Arabidopsis thaliana: one gene and its partner. The protein of the gene in region 2 interacts with the protein of the main gene of each other region in a pairwise test. Each region holds a gene or a part of one and is shown on either strand. Other genes may lie near its edges.

Region 1 (6,055 bases), on a different chromosome or scaffold from region 2:
CCAGGTTTATAAAATTCTTAATTAAAGTATTGTTAATAACGTATGGTTATGTGCTCGAATGGAATCTGATTCTAGCTTCTTCAATGTGTTTGTCAGTTGATGAGACAAGCTGGTCCAACAGATGTAGCTGTGAATTCAAGCTGAGAATGTGTAAACCAGGATAGTTTGGTTCGTACGACAAATATTCTACCTGCCCAAACCCAAGTTACTACCATTGATCGTTATCAGTTGATCATGATCGTATTAATTTTTGAATGTTTTATTTGTTAACTTATGTTATGATGTCGAGTTTATTTTTATTAGATTAATATATATTTCGTCTAAAAGATAAATATATTGCTGCAAATTAACCTCTTTTTTTTTGTCAATAATAATTTAGAAAATTGAACTAAACAAAATGTCTTATAATTACATAAACCCAAAATAGAAAAAATAGAAAAAGAAAAAGAAGCCATGTCGTGATGTGAATACACACACATTTCTCTCTGGACCTAAAAATCTCTCCCTTCTCTCTAAAAACAAAAGGAACCGCCACCTAGATTTTTTATATTCATAGTGGCTTCCATAGCACTAGAGCCGGTAAAATTCTTTCTCTTTCTTTGTTTTTCTCTTTTTTCGGCACATCCATGATTTTTCTTCCAACGGAATCAATTCTAGTTTTCTAGATCTAAATATTTAAAGCTTAAATCTCCTCCTCCTTTGGTTTTTGATGTTTTGCTTTTTTGTCTCCGCCATTCTCAGCATCATATCTGGTTGTATCTTTCTTGGTAGGTAGAAGCAGTCTTCAATCGGTTCTTCTCTGCCTCAGATTAAGAAATTTCGCCATCGTAAATCTAGATCTTCTTCCTTTCTTCAAGAGACGTTCTTTGAGTCTCTATTTTTTTGGATGCGTTTCACCGCCTCTGTGACTTCTCGAGAGTATTATAAAGAGGGTCACACGACACTTTCATTTGGTTTTAACTTGTTATAAAGAAGATTCTTGTATTATAATCTGTTTGTGTGTTTTTCTAAGTCTCAGTTTTGTTTTAATTTGCAAGGTTTAGGTTTTGTTAATCTTTTTTTTGAATTTCCAGATTCTGATCCAGAAAGTATTAATGGATGTTGTGTAGTTTATTTGCTCGGGTTTTTTTCCCTTTGTTTACTTTGTTTGATCATTGTTTCTGGTGTTCTTGTACTCGCCGACTAATGTTTCCGGAAGTGTTCATGTACTTGCCGGCTCTTTGTAATTCACTTTAAACCTTATCAATAGAATCTTTTTGATGAAAAAGAAGAAGAAGCCATGGAGCTATTCAAACTCATCTAACCGATTGGATAAAACAGCTCATTCATAGGAGACTACGCCACCAAAACTATTTTTTTAATATGTTTCATATCCCTAACAATACATTCTTCTTGAAAAAATATTCTACATAGCTCACAATACAAAAAACTTGGTTTAGTGACATTTGACATTTACACATATGAATGGTTGCAATATGGTCATAGCACGTAAAAAATGATCATATATTGTTCAAAAATATAGATCTTAATGCATATCGATCATGTCCCTCTGGTCCAATTGGTTTTATGATTTTTTTTCCATATCAATCAATCAAAAAGGAGGATCAATTGATCTGGCCCTCTATAACTAAATTTGTTTTAACTAGAAAAACTGGACCGCTCATTCTCCTCCTCTCAAGTTCTGGTTAGCGTTTTTTGAATCATTTTCAATCACAAAGTTATTTTTAAGAAAAAATCTAGGAAATGCACAACTTTGATTAAAAAACAAAAAAAAATTATAAGATTACATCTAACTTAATAAGCAATACTTAAGAAAAAAACAAAAGTACATACCGATAAAAACACGACACGTCAAATTTTATATCTAGACATTATAATATACATATGAATTTTAGTAAAAGGTAAAACAAAATGTAAATGTTGAAAATAGTAAATTTAATTTAAAATTTTTGAAAAAAAATATTAATAAAATACATATCTAATATAGTAATTTATAAAATATCACGTGGCGTTCGGCAATATATGGCACAAAATTTTCAAGGATAAGATTTTCTAATTTCCAAACTTTTATAATAAATCTGATAAACTTGAATTAATGTTACCAGAATCCCATTTAATAAAATCAGAACTAAAATTAGGCATTTTCATAAAAGTATTGTGAAAACATACAAATTAAAGATGTTCTTATAGAAAAAAGGGATTTTTTCACTATTAAAATTAAAAAGATAATAATCTAAAACAACCTTGTAGACCCAAAAAAAAAAGATTACAAAAATGCCTAACTTCTTTAACATTTTAAGAAGTCTTATCTTCACAGCACCTTCTAAAAGAAAAGTGTTCTTTCTGTAATTAACCTTTTTTAAACATTAAAACATAAAGTCTATCCTTTTAATAAATATTTGACTTTTATCATTTGACTCCTTCGCTAAGTCCGACGTGACGGACATATAGGTAATTTGTGTATATAAACCAGAAGTGTTCTGCTGGTAATCATATCTTGTAACCATAATCGTCTTGTGTCTTTTATTTCACAGAGACAAAATGGAAACCCCAAACATCATCAGCCACACAAATCTTCTATCGAAGATAGACCTGGAAAAACAAAACCCTGCCCCCATTTTCCCGACAATCACTGAGCTTAAAAGTGAGGCTAGGTCTCTCTTCTCCTTAGCCTTCCCGACAATCCTCGCGGCCCTCATCCTCTACGCTCGCTCCGCCATCTCGATGCTCTTCCTCGGGCATATCGGTGAACTAGAGCTAGCTGGTGGCTCCCTGGCCATTGCCTTCGCTAACATCACTGGCTACTCCGTTCTAGCAGGTCTTGCACTCGGCATGGACCCACTCTGTTCGCAAGCCTTTGGAGCCGGCAGACCAAAACTCCTCTCTTTAACGCTTCAACGAACCGTACTTTTCTTACTCACAAGTTCGGTAGTAATCGTCGCTCTATGGCTCAACCTGGGGAAGATCATGATTTATCTTCATCAAGATCCAAGTATCTCATCGTTGGCCCAAACATATATCCTCTGCTCTATTCCTGATCTGCTCACCAATTCCTTTCTTCACCCTCTTCGTATATACCTTCGAGCACAAGGTATCACAAGCCCTTTAACTCTCGCAACACTCGCTGGCACCATCTTCCACATACCCATGAACTTTTTCCTCGTTTCTTACCTCGGATGGGGTTTCATGGGCGTTTCAATGGCCGCAGCCGCTTCAAATCTTCTTGTTGTCATTTTCCTTGTGGCCCATGTTTGGATCGCAGGTCTACACCAGCCAACGTGGACCCGCCCCAGCTCGGAATGTTTCAAAGATTGGGGACCAGTCGTAACCCTAGCCATACCTAGCTGCATCGGGGTATGCCTAGAGTGGTGGTGGTACGAGATAATGACCGTTCTATGTGGTTTACTCATAGACCCTAGTACTCCAGTGGCATCAATGGGCATTCTTATCCAAACGACGTCTTTGCTTTACATTTTCCCATCGTCTCTAGGGTTAGCAGTCTCCACCCGAGTTGGTAACGAACTTGGCTCAAACCGCCCAAACAAGGCTAGGTTATCAGCCATAGTGGCGGTTTCCTTTGCTGGGGTAATGGGTCTGACGGCGTCTGCGTTTGCTTGGGGCGTAAGCGATGTCTGGGGATGGATCTTCACAAACGACGTTGCTATCATCAAATTAACCGCAGCCGCGTTGCCGATTCTCGGGCTTTGCGAGCTCGGGAACTGCCCGCAAACAGTAGGTTGCGGGGTTGTTAGAGGCACTGCACGGCCGTCCATGGCAGCGAACATAAACCTAGGAGCGTTTTACCTCGTTGGAACGCCTGTAGCCGTTGGGCTAACGTTTTGGGCCGCATATGGATTTTGCGGACTTTGGGTAGGTCTTTTAGCTGCTCAGATATGTTGTGCTGCCATGATGCTATATGTCGTGGCTACTACGGACTGGGAGAAAGAAGCAATTAGAGCCAGAAAGCTAACGTGTACTGAAGGCGTTGATGTGGTAATAACAACAACGCAAACCAACGGAGACTTATCGGAACCATTAATTTACGTTGTCACTGTCGCTACTGACTGACATCGATCGGTGTTTTGAGTTGTTTTATTTTATTTTACTTAATATTTGTGGATGAATCGATCAGTTTTTTTTGGGAGGGCATTGGGAGACATTTGTATTTTTAAACGAGAAAGTTACCAAAAAGAATCTGATTCATAATTTTGATCCAAAGTAATTGTGTCCTAAGTATTTGTACTTCATGCTATTTTAGAGAATTTTCTTTTTCTATATAATCGGCTTTGATTGCTCCAGAATTCGAATTCAAGTTGTTGTGCAACATTTTCTGATGTGTTCAATTGTGTTTTCGTTGTATAAGTAGTAGATCATGACTAAACATGTGTTCACGTTATATAATGATTATGTATGTTATTCAGTTTAATTGTATATATTTTTTCATGTATAAAAAGTTATGTTTTTTAAAAATATATTTCTTTTACTTTGATTTATTAAATATAAGATCAACCTATATTTGTTGTCAAAAAAAAGCATTAGGAGGATTTGAATTCGATTACAGCCGCAAAATGTTACAGCTATTTGTGCTGGTTAGTTCTCCAGTCAGACTCTTGGTGGTATTACTGCAACTCATTAATTTTTCTATTTAAAAAAATATATGGTGAAAGAAGTTCTTTAAATTCCAGTTTTCAACACGTATGCACAAAATTTTGCTTCTCAAAATTAAATATACAGGGGGAGGGGACATCTATACTGTTTGGTTACCTAGGTTTAACATCAAATACAAGTAAAAAAAAACGAAAAACGAGACTTAAGTATGCATGGTTAATGTAGCTATACATCGACGTCCATGAGATGTACTTTAGTGATTTGTATTAGTATTTAGATGTGTCACTACTTAAAATTTAATTTCGCATATTACATGTTGATGTTGTTAACGAAAATATATATACAAAAATAAGTTTTGTAGATCTACATATATGGGTATTCTTATATAATAAAACTCTGATCAATTTGACGGGAAAAAAAAAAAACTCTGATCACTTCCTGAATTTAAAATGTTCGTGTCATCGATAACTACATAATATTTTTTGTTATCAATGACGAGTCATTGTAATTATATATATTGGCAAAGGTTCTTGGAGTCATGTTTACTTGTTACATGTAATAGAAATTGTCTGAATAAACCTGTCCCTTTTCTTAAGAGTGTTAAACCTCTTTTCACTTGATTTGGTCATTGTCCCCAAACATTCCAACACATGTTTTGGGCCAATCCATGATGTTGCCTAAAGATCACCGTTGACTTTTCTTTTTTTACATCAGTATGACTTTTTTAGTTGTTACGTTGTATATATTTGACTTTTTATAAATTTTAATATTATATTAGAATTCTCCAATGTATACAAATTAAATAGCTTACAAAGCAAAAAATATCAAATACTACCCAAGAAGTATAGTTAGTAATAGCTGATTTTATCATTTTTCCTTTGAAGATTAGCCGTTACTTGGTTAAAAATTAGTAGTAAATTATTTAAACAGCATTTGTACGTCTTTTTTTTTTGTTTTCTTGGGGTCAATTAGCATTTGTACACTATTGGCATGTTCTAGGCTTATAGTTTACTTTTAACCCACGTAAAAATATTAAAAGTTATGTTTCGACTTATGACTTTTCTCAAGAGACGTGTTTTTCGATTGGAGTCATGTCCAGAAGACACTGAAGCATGCTTGTTTTACAACCAGTCCACGTTTTTAGGCGTCGATTGTTTTTCTACTCTTGCTTTTTCCAAAACTGATCTTTTCTCCATCTTGTAAAATACAAATCTTTGTATTATATTCTAAAATATTTACTGGTAAATCATCTTCTTGAGTTAAATTACTTTATAAATATTGTATATATTGTTATACAAAATAATTGATTACCAATTCATCTTTATGTATGTATATTCTAGTTTTTACCTCTCTTTTTTTTTTCTCTCCTGAACCAGTAAACTATAGATGTGGTTGCGTAAAATGACTTGATTGCTAGACGTATTTGCTTTCGTATGGCGATATAAAA
Region 2 (8,582 bases):
TGAATTGGAAGAGAAGATGTTGGTATACGAGTATTTACCAAACAAGAGCCTAGACTATTTCATATTCCGTACGTTCAACATTTTTAACTCAGGTTCAAATTCTCCCTTTCAGGAAGATCAATGACTCTGAATTTTCTTGTTTCTTTCTTCTTATCATCATGCTAGATGAAGAGCAGAGAGCAGAGTTGGATTGGCCAAAAAGAATGGAGATAGTCCGAGGGATTGCTCGTGGAATCTTATATCTTCATCAAGATTCAAGACTGAGAATCATCCACAGAGATCTCAAGGCCAGCAATATACTTCTTGACAGTGAAATGATCCCAAAGATTTCAGATTTCGGCATGGCTAGAATCTTTGGGGGCAACCAAATGGAAGGATGCACAAGTAGGGTCGTCGGAACATTGTGAGTTACTCTTTTCTGAAACACCACAAAACTGTCCAAAATCTTACAACCTTAAACTGTTTCAATCTTGTTGCACAGCGGATATATGGCACCGGAGTATGCAATGGAGGGACAGTTCTCCATTAAATCCGACGTCTATAGCTTTGGAGTATTGATGTTAGAGATCATAACCGGAAAGAAAAACAGTGCTTTCCACGAGGAATCATCTAACTTAGTCGGACATGTAAGTACATAACTGAAAATTTTACACAAAAACAGAGGAAAAAAAACAGAACATAAGTAAATGTATGTTTCTCCGTCTTGTAGATTTGGGATCTATGGGAAAACGGTGAAGCAACAGAGATCATAGACAATTTAATGGACCAAGAGACTTATGATGAGAGAGAAGTGATGAAGTGCATACAAATTGGGTTGCTCTGTGTGCAAGAAAACGCTTCGGACAGAGTAGACATGTCCTCTGTTGTCATCATGTTGGGTCATAACGCCACTAATCTTCCGAATCCAAAGCATCCTGCGTTTACTTCCGCGAGAAGGAGAGGCGGTGAAAATGGTGCTTGTCTTAAGGGACAAACCGGTATTTCTGTTAATGACGTTACCTTCAGCGACATTCAAGGTCGTTAAAACAACTTCCAAATGTTTTACTTTTTTTCGTATAAGAAGAGAAGAAGACTAGAGGATCAGTTACAGGAATCAGGAATCTTATTAACTCTGTAAGTTTGTGTAATGAGACTGGTTTTTTGACAAAACTTATTTATTGAAGTACTGATAACAAAAGAAAGAAAATGACTAATAATAAAACCATTGCTAAAAACAAAACACAAAAAGGAAATTTCTTCGCTGCTATAAAATAATTTTGTGCAGAAAATTCAAGGTTGTTATGTAGTTAATGTATCTTCGAAAAAGTCAAAACTGATGTTATTTTCTTATCCCCTATCCAAGTTTGTTCCAATATACATATACTTATAGCAAAGCAACCAATACACAAAACCAATAATTGTGTTTTAATTCTTTCTTCTCAAGACAAAACCTATGTGCTGTGGCTTTTTCTCAAGAACAACGGATTTTTGTTCTTGTCCTGTTTTCTTCAGGTTCAGTTTCTTCATCCAGGTTAGTTAATTCCAAAAATCTGATTATATGTAAGAATAGGTCAAGTTTCAACAAAGTTCATAAACCTGAAAATAACTTCTCTGTTCTTATTTCAGTAATCTAACCATTGCACAGACGCAGATAACAAAATTTGTAAACATAGGAGTTTCTCAAAACGTGTATATTACATACTATTATGTATATAAACAGACTGAGATTGGCGTGGTGGTGAGGTTAACGTCCTGTTACAGCTGTGAGGCTCACATCATTGATAGATACCTTTTGACTACTCTGGTCAGAAGATTCAGCCTCAGAAGCTCCTCTTCTTACTATAAACGCTGGCTGCTTCGGATCGGCGAGGCTCATGTTCTCGGTAGTTAGCATCCATATCACGTTTGAAACATTTGGTCTATCGTTTGCAACTTCTTGCACACATAACAGTCCAATATGAACACATTTCTCTATCTCTTTCTCGAAACACTTATCAAAGACGGCTGGATCTGCTAGAGAAGCAGCCTCACCGTCGTTCCACAGCTTCCAAGCCTGTAAAAACCAAGTCTTTAAGGTAAGTTTCGAATCTTGATTAACCATAAGTTACTAAAAACACTGCTTTGTAACACTTACATAAGCCAAAAGGTTGAGATTATTCTCTTCCTTGTGAGAACTAGAGTTTCTTCTCCCACTTATGATCTCGAGAAATATAACCCCCAAGCTGAAAACATCTGATTTTTCTGAAAAGAAACCTTCCATTGCATACTCCGGTGACATATAGCCGCTGCAATAACAATATTTGAATAAAACCGAATTTCGTAATGTTTGTTGTGTATTTTGGAATGGATACTTACTATGTTCCAACAACCCTTCTTGTGTTAGCTTCATCTTCATTCGCTCGGAAAATTCTTGCAAGTCCAAAATCAGATATCTTGGGGTTTAGATTCTCATCTAACAAAATGTTGCTGGCTTTTAAATCTCTGTGTATGATCTTTAGTCTTGAATCTCTGTGAAGGTACAAAAGACCTCTGCAAATTCCTTCCATTATGTTGAACCGAGTCTTCCAATCAAGAATCTTTTGCTTCATTGGGTCTGAGAAAAGTTAGCAAAAACATTAGCCTTCTCAATAATCATCCCGAGCCAAACGGTATAAACAGAGTTAAAAAGAGAGTTAGAGGTGATAAGTTTACCAAAAAGATATGCATCCAAGCTTTTCTTTGGCATATATTCATATACTAACATTCTTTCTTCACCTTCAATACAACATCCAAGTAACTTCACTAGATTCCGATGTTGCAACTTAGATATCACAACCACTTCGTTCATAAGTTCCTCTAGTCCTTGACCTGATTTCCGTGAGAGCCTCTTCACTGCAATTTCTTGTCCTTCAGGTAATTTTCCCTAAAAAAAAAGATTACCAATCACTTAGTCTGAGATAATTTGTACACATATCTCCCTCCAGAAAACTTCTTTTGTTATGATTTTACCTTGTAAACAGGACCAAACCCGCCTTGCCCGAGCTTGTTTCTTAGAGAGAAGCTATCAGTTGATGTAGCTAACACTTGAAACTCAAAGAGTGGAAGCTCCTTGAGCTTGATTTGGTTAGAAGCAGACTCATTATCACTTGTAAGTGCTTCCATTCTCTTAAACATTAGCTCTGCACTTCTATCTTTCGCTGGAGCTGCTAAGGTAATGATCAATGAAGCAAAACAATTATGATAAAAGAAACAATCAGAATCTAACATTCATGAATAAACAAAACTCTAACCTGGACGCTTTTTGTATTTCCGGCATGCTAAAAGAACGCAGACCGCAGCAATTAACATAACGCCTATCACAGGTGCTGCGATCATAACTGCTAGATTGCTATGTGTTTCTACAAAAAGTTGGTAAGTAAAAACTTAAGTCAGTGAAGAAAACAAAAATGGAGAAGGAAACAAAGTGAGAACTACTAGATATATTTCACTCACTGAGTTCTGAATGAGCAACACGAATAAAAAGATCAATGCCACTTCCCAAAAATGATTGCATATCAACTAAATCACCACTCCAAAGCATGCATCCAATTCCTCTATCATATGCATAAGCTGTGCAAGAACAGTTATCTAAGCATACTTTAGGACAAACTTGTTCACTAGCTTCAGACCGTTCCGCAGAGATTGGTACTTTCATCTTCTGCAGTTTCAAAAAACCATCTGCTTTTCCTCCACCACCACCATTACTTACATTTCTCTGTCTTTCACACTGCAATGGAGCTTTTCTCATACATCCATTACTCCAATTACCACCATTCCACTCTGTGTTATTCTTTGGAACAAACCCTTTAACACATTTACAAGGCGGGTTTTCCCCGGCATGGCAGCTCCCGAATCGACCACATCTACCGTATGCATCACAGTCTGTGTATGGAAACTTTACACCTATCCTCCAAGTTCTCATAGAAGTACTCCAATCTTTCTGATAAATAATTCCTTCAGGATCCAAGTTAAAGTGATACATGAACGAATCATTAGCATAAGACATTGAGATCGTTCCTTGATTATCACTGTTAAGATTAAACCCATCAAGAAACAGAAGTGAATCCATATTCGGTAAACCGATGAAAACCTGACCGTTCCACGGTCCGCTACGCCACGTTGGGACATTGTTCTTCCAGATAAGAAGCTCAGGAAACGTGAAAGGAGCAATACCAGCTGTGTAGTTTCCTGTTGAAGGATCATCGTGGCTTGTCCAAGAAGTAAGCTTTAGGTTACCTCCAGTTCTACCGTCGGTGCCAAGAGTCATTCTTGGCATGAAAGAATCATAAGGATGCTTGAAACTCTCCCAAAGAATCTCACCATTGTTTCTGTTGTCTTGTAACATAAGATTCCCAGAATCCATAAGCTGAACCCAAGTAGCATTTGGAGCTACTGGTACTGAGACATTCGTCGACCATACAAGGCGATTTCGACCATCGGTAACCGCGAGATTTCCATCTTGATAGATCGAGATAACACCGGAAGTGTCGTTGATGGGAGAGTCTTTGTTAGCAACCCAAACCACAGTTTGGATTGGAATCTTTTCGTACCAAATCCCAACATAACGTAACCGAGTAGTGGAATTAACAGGAGTGAAGAAACCAAACCTGAAAATACCACTTTTGCATAGAAGGGTCTCTGACTCTGAGTCTTTGATAGGACTTGAGAAAGTGATTCTGTCCTCACCAAAACAGAGTCTCCGAGACAACAAACAAGTGCATGCAAGTAGAAGAAGAACAAAACGACGACGTATGGTCACTGAAACCACCATAACTCTTTGAAACAGAGAATGACTCCAGTTTTGCTTTGTTTTCCTACACGAGAGGTAAATTAGTAGTCTTTTTCTGTCTCTATGAGAAGACTTGACTTAGAAAATGATGTAAAAGTTTTATGTTTCAACGAAGATTTGTTTTTGGTGTGAGTAATAATGTTATTAGGTGGATTCATTGAATAGCCCACCAATTAGCAGTGAGAGTGGAATAAACCACCAATCTTGACTTTTCTTTAAATGCAGAGGAAACGATTGAAAGCGAGAGGACTACTTGCCTTAGTGCGATTTCAATGGGGTCATTGTTTATACATTTCGAGTACACTTGTTTTATTTGCAGATTATAGCATTTGAAAACAAATATTACTTTTTTCTGTTCTCATTCTTGGTGATACAAACGAACGCGTGTTTCACAGCCCACTTGGTGTTTTGCCGTCGTTAAAGTTTGAGGAATTTGAGTTGAATTTGTTTATGTCATGCCGTTCTAGATTGGATTAGGTCGCAAATCTTTTTGTGGGTAGCTAATTTGGAATTTGTTGAGGCAAGCACACAATGTATCACATGAAATGCCTAAACGAAGTGTACAAAAGATTCGATTTCTGTTCAGTTGAAACGGAATAGAAAGTTTTTTTTTAAACTATGAGAAAGGTTTTTACCAAACAAATTTATCTTGTATTAAAAAAGGATGTGGTCTCTATCGAACAACACATACTTTTGACTTTGCATGCAAATACGAGACAATGTGCCACGAGGCCAAAATTTGCAATTTTTAAAGAATTATTAGATGGTGACAAAAAATTGAATAGAGAAATTAGGTGGGGATATTGCCCTTGATACAATTGTTATGTGAAGCCTAATTTGTTTTATATTGGTAACATGTTATTTTTTTGTATGGACGTTCTAAGTTTTTTACTTACCAATGAAAGCCACACAATTCACAAATCACAATGATGACTGATGAGTAATGACATCTAAAACGACAGAAGCCGAAACTAGTATTATTAGAAAGTCTAATTGACTCAAAACGCCAAATCTTTGAGCAAAAATAAAAGGGAAATGGAGAACAAAATTACCTCTCTTTTTTTTTTTTTCATATTGCCATTGCGTTCTGCATAGGACTTTGTTGTATCAAATGAGACCTGAGAAAAAGGTCATTGACTTCGACAGATGAAAAGTCTAGAGAATTTGTATGTTCATGAGACAGAGGGTCACAACGTAGCTCTCAACATGACAACATCAATCAAACTGTTGTACAGTCACATCTTGTTTAAGAAGAATTCTTTCAAATAATCTTTAAAATGCCACAACCTATGTTACGTTGCAATCAAGACATACTAATCATAGATCAATCTTCAGTTATTCTACTTCTCCCTAAGCATAAATAAGCATTACGACATTTGTTACCATTACAATAAAAAAAAAAGCAAATTAGTGTACTATTCCAACACAGATGGAAACAATTACTAACAAGACAACAAAGATTTTTCTAAGCGATGATAGACAATAAACTTTTATCTTCAAGGCACAAAAATGGCAGCTACATTAAATATTTTCAGACAAATAAATTGCATTAGACACAAAAATCTCAAAACTGCAGTCAGTGGTAATTCGAACCATCAATGTACAAGTAATGAGTAAACTTGAGATCACAGCGACCAGTGAGACTTTAGCATAAGACCTATGGTTCTTCCGTCACTGTTTGTGTGATAAACAAGACATGGACTTAATCTAAACCTATCGCCTATGTTGAATTTCAGATATGATTCCACCTGAAACTGATCATGATTTCTTGAACCATCAACAACTCCCCCAACGCTCATGCCCCAGCCCACTTCATCCTCTGGGTTGTCTGTAATAGACACTGACCATTTCACTTGCTTTTCTCTTGAGTTCTGAATTTCAATCCATCCCCCAAGTTTTGTAGACTCGTCCATTAGAGAGTCTAACTTCAAAGCAATGGAACTGGACGACACATGATTCATGTTTCTACTCATCTCCAGAGGCGGTGCTGATGGTTCAGGCTCCGTAGCAGTATGGCGCCTTAGGAAACTTACTGGAACTGTAATGGCTCCAACAGAATGGAGATTGCTAGATGATGTTAAAACTTGGTGACAGCCCAATAGAGATAGCTTTAAACTTCTGAGAATGTGGCAGGTTACTTGCCCAAATGTTCTGAAACAACGATTCGGTGCAGTCAAACCCTGTTCAACTTCAACGTTTGACATAGACTGAGCCAGTGAAGCTGTGATATTTGACTTTCTGAATGTTAACCCTATGGCGCTCCCATTATGTTGGCTTAAAAGAGGTGGTCCAAGTTCAGAAACTTCTGTGAGACTCATTCCCTGCAAGACGAAGGTAGTTGTATTTGTAGTTTTATCAATAACGATTATTTATGAGAAACACAACAAATATAGAAACAGAAATCTGCAACGATTGGTGGATACCTGGTAAGAAGACACAGTAGAAGCCTCAATGTCTCTGAAATGCGCGCCAACAGGAATAGCAATAGCAGAGAACCAATCATTAATATCTGCCTTGTAGAAGACTTTGGCTAAAGACAACTCTCCTCCTAAAAAATCCCTGTGACTTCCTGCCCCATTGTATCCAGCAACAAGCTCAGCCACAAGCCTATCTGTCTCCCTAAGACTCGTTTCAAACACAAACCTTGAAAGCAATCCCGGTCTCACTCCTTCTTTGTTGAGTCCATTGAAACTTTCCTCGTCAGTGTTTCCCATCAGCAATATAGCTCCAAGCACATCAACTTCACCTCTCACATGAGTGCTAGTCTCTTGAAAGGGACCTCCTTTCGATAATTTCTGCGAGGAAATGATCCGCTCTACTTTCTCTTGTCTTTCTCTAAGTTTCATCAAATCCGAGAATGTTTCTCTTTGTAATCGCTTCAAGATATCAATCTGCAACATAATTCCCAAAACCAACAATGCAGAAACTCAAATTCAACATCACATTTCAAACAAAAAGTTGATTTTAAGAACAAAATGAGTAAAGGGGATGGATAACGATACCGGATTCAGGCGAGAAGGATTCTCATGGAAGCCGAAATGGCGGGAGACTAAATCCTGGCTCGATTTCGTAAAGCTCTTCACTTTCTCCAACACCGAAGCAATTGGGTCCATCTTTTAATCAGAAACTGGTAAGGAAAGCTTGAAGATTCTAGAAAATTTCGAACCCAGTGATGATCATTTCTATCGATGATAAGAGGATTTGAATAGAGAAGATGCGAAAATGTTTTAGGGTTTATGTGTTTGGATTTTGGTTTCAAAATCTGGAATTGGACGATCCGGTTTCTTACGTCGGTTCGTTTCGGTTATTTTCGAATTTCTGATTATTTCGGTTAAAGAGTTTGGTCAACCTAAAACCAGAACAATTGATTATTTCTGATTATTTCTTCTTTTCTTTTGGTATCATTGTATCAAAGGCGAAGGATACCAAAGGTAAGGATATAGTTGACGAATGTACGACGAAGTAACAAAGGGGTTCTAATGTCCGGTTTCGATCTTAAGTTGTGGTAACGATTGAATCGCATTGCAGAATCTTGAACTGGACGATGCATATGGTTAGTTGCTTCAGTGAAGGTTGACTTCAATGATATTTTGGAAAGTCGTCGTGAGAAAGTTGATTATATTGATCGGGTCTTCTTAAAAAAAGAAAGAATAAACCTCATAAGGTCCTTTAGGTAGTTAGCTGAAATGTGATTTTCTTTATTTAATATAGCGAAAATGATAGTTTTAGGTCATAACTTTGAAAATATAATATAGAAATCTTGACTAAAAAATATTATAAGTACGTGTAAAACTCG

The links.
Region 1: the proteins of AT1G11330 (region 2) and AT5G19700 interact in a protein complementation assay, tested with the Arabidopsis thaliana proteins (one large-scale study listed by BioGRID).

What each region holds. Positions count from the first base shown.
Region 1 is NC_003076.8:6,658,834-6,664,888, reverse strand, and holds AT5G19700 (MATE efflux family protein), read left to right. Parts: upstream 1-2,425; 5' UTR 2,426-2,541; coding exon 2,542-4,068; 3' UTR 4,069-4,211; downstream 4,212-6,055. Other genes in the region: AT5G19710 (histidine containing phosphotransfer protein), read left to right, coding at 1-4, 97-144. UniProt on the Arabidopsis thaliana protein: May act as a negative regulator of hypocotyl cell elongation in the light.
Region 2 is NC_003070.9:3,806,558-3,815,139, reverse strand, and holds AT1G11330 (S-locus lectin protein kinase family protein), read right to left. Parts: upstream 5,346-8,582; 5' UTR 4,769-5,345; coding exon 3,451-4,768; intron 3,357-3,450; coding exon 3,249-3,356; intron 3,162-3,248; coding exon 2,968-3,161; intron 2,882-2,967; coding exon 2,671-2,881; intron 2,573-2,670; coding exon 2,335-2,572; intron 2,265-2,334; coding exon 2,114-2,264; coding exon of another isoform or gene 2,087-2,113; exon of another isoform or gene 2,033-2,086; coding exon 1,724-2,032; 3' UTR 1,331-1,723; downstream 1-1,330. Other genes in the region: AT1G11340 (G-type lectin S-receptor-like Serine/Threonine-kinase), read left to right, coding at 1-68, 166-403, 482-626, 710-1,024; AT1G11320 (GDSL esterase/lipase), read right to left, coding at 6,412-7,107, 7,210-7,677, 7,789-7,899.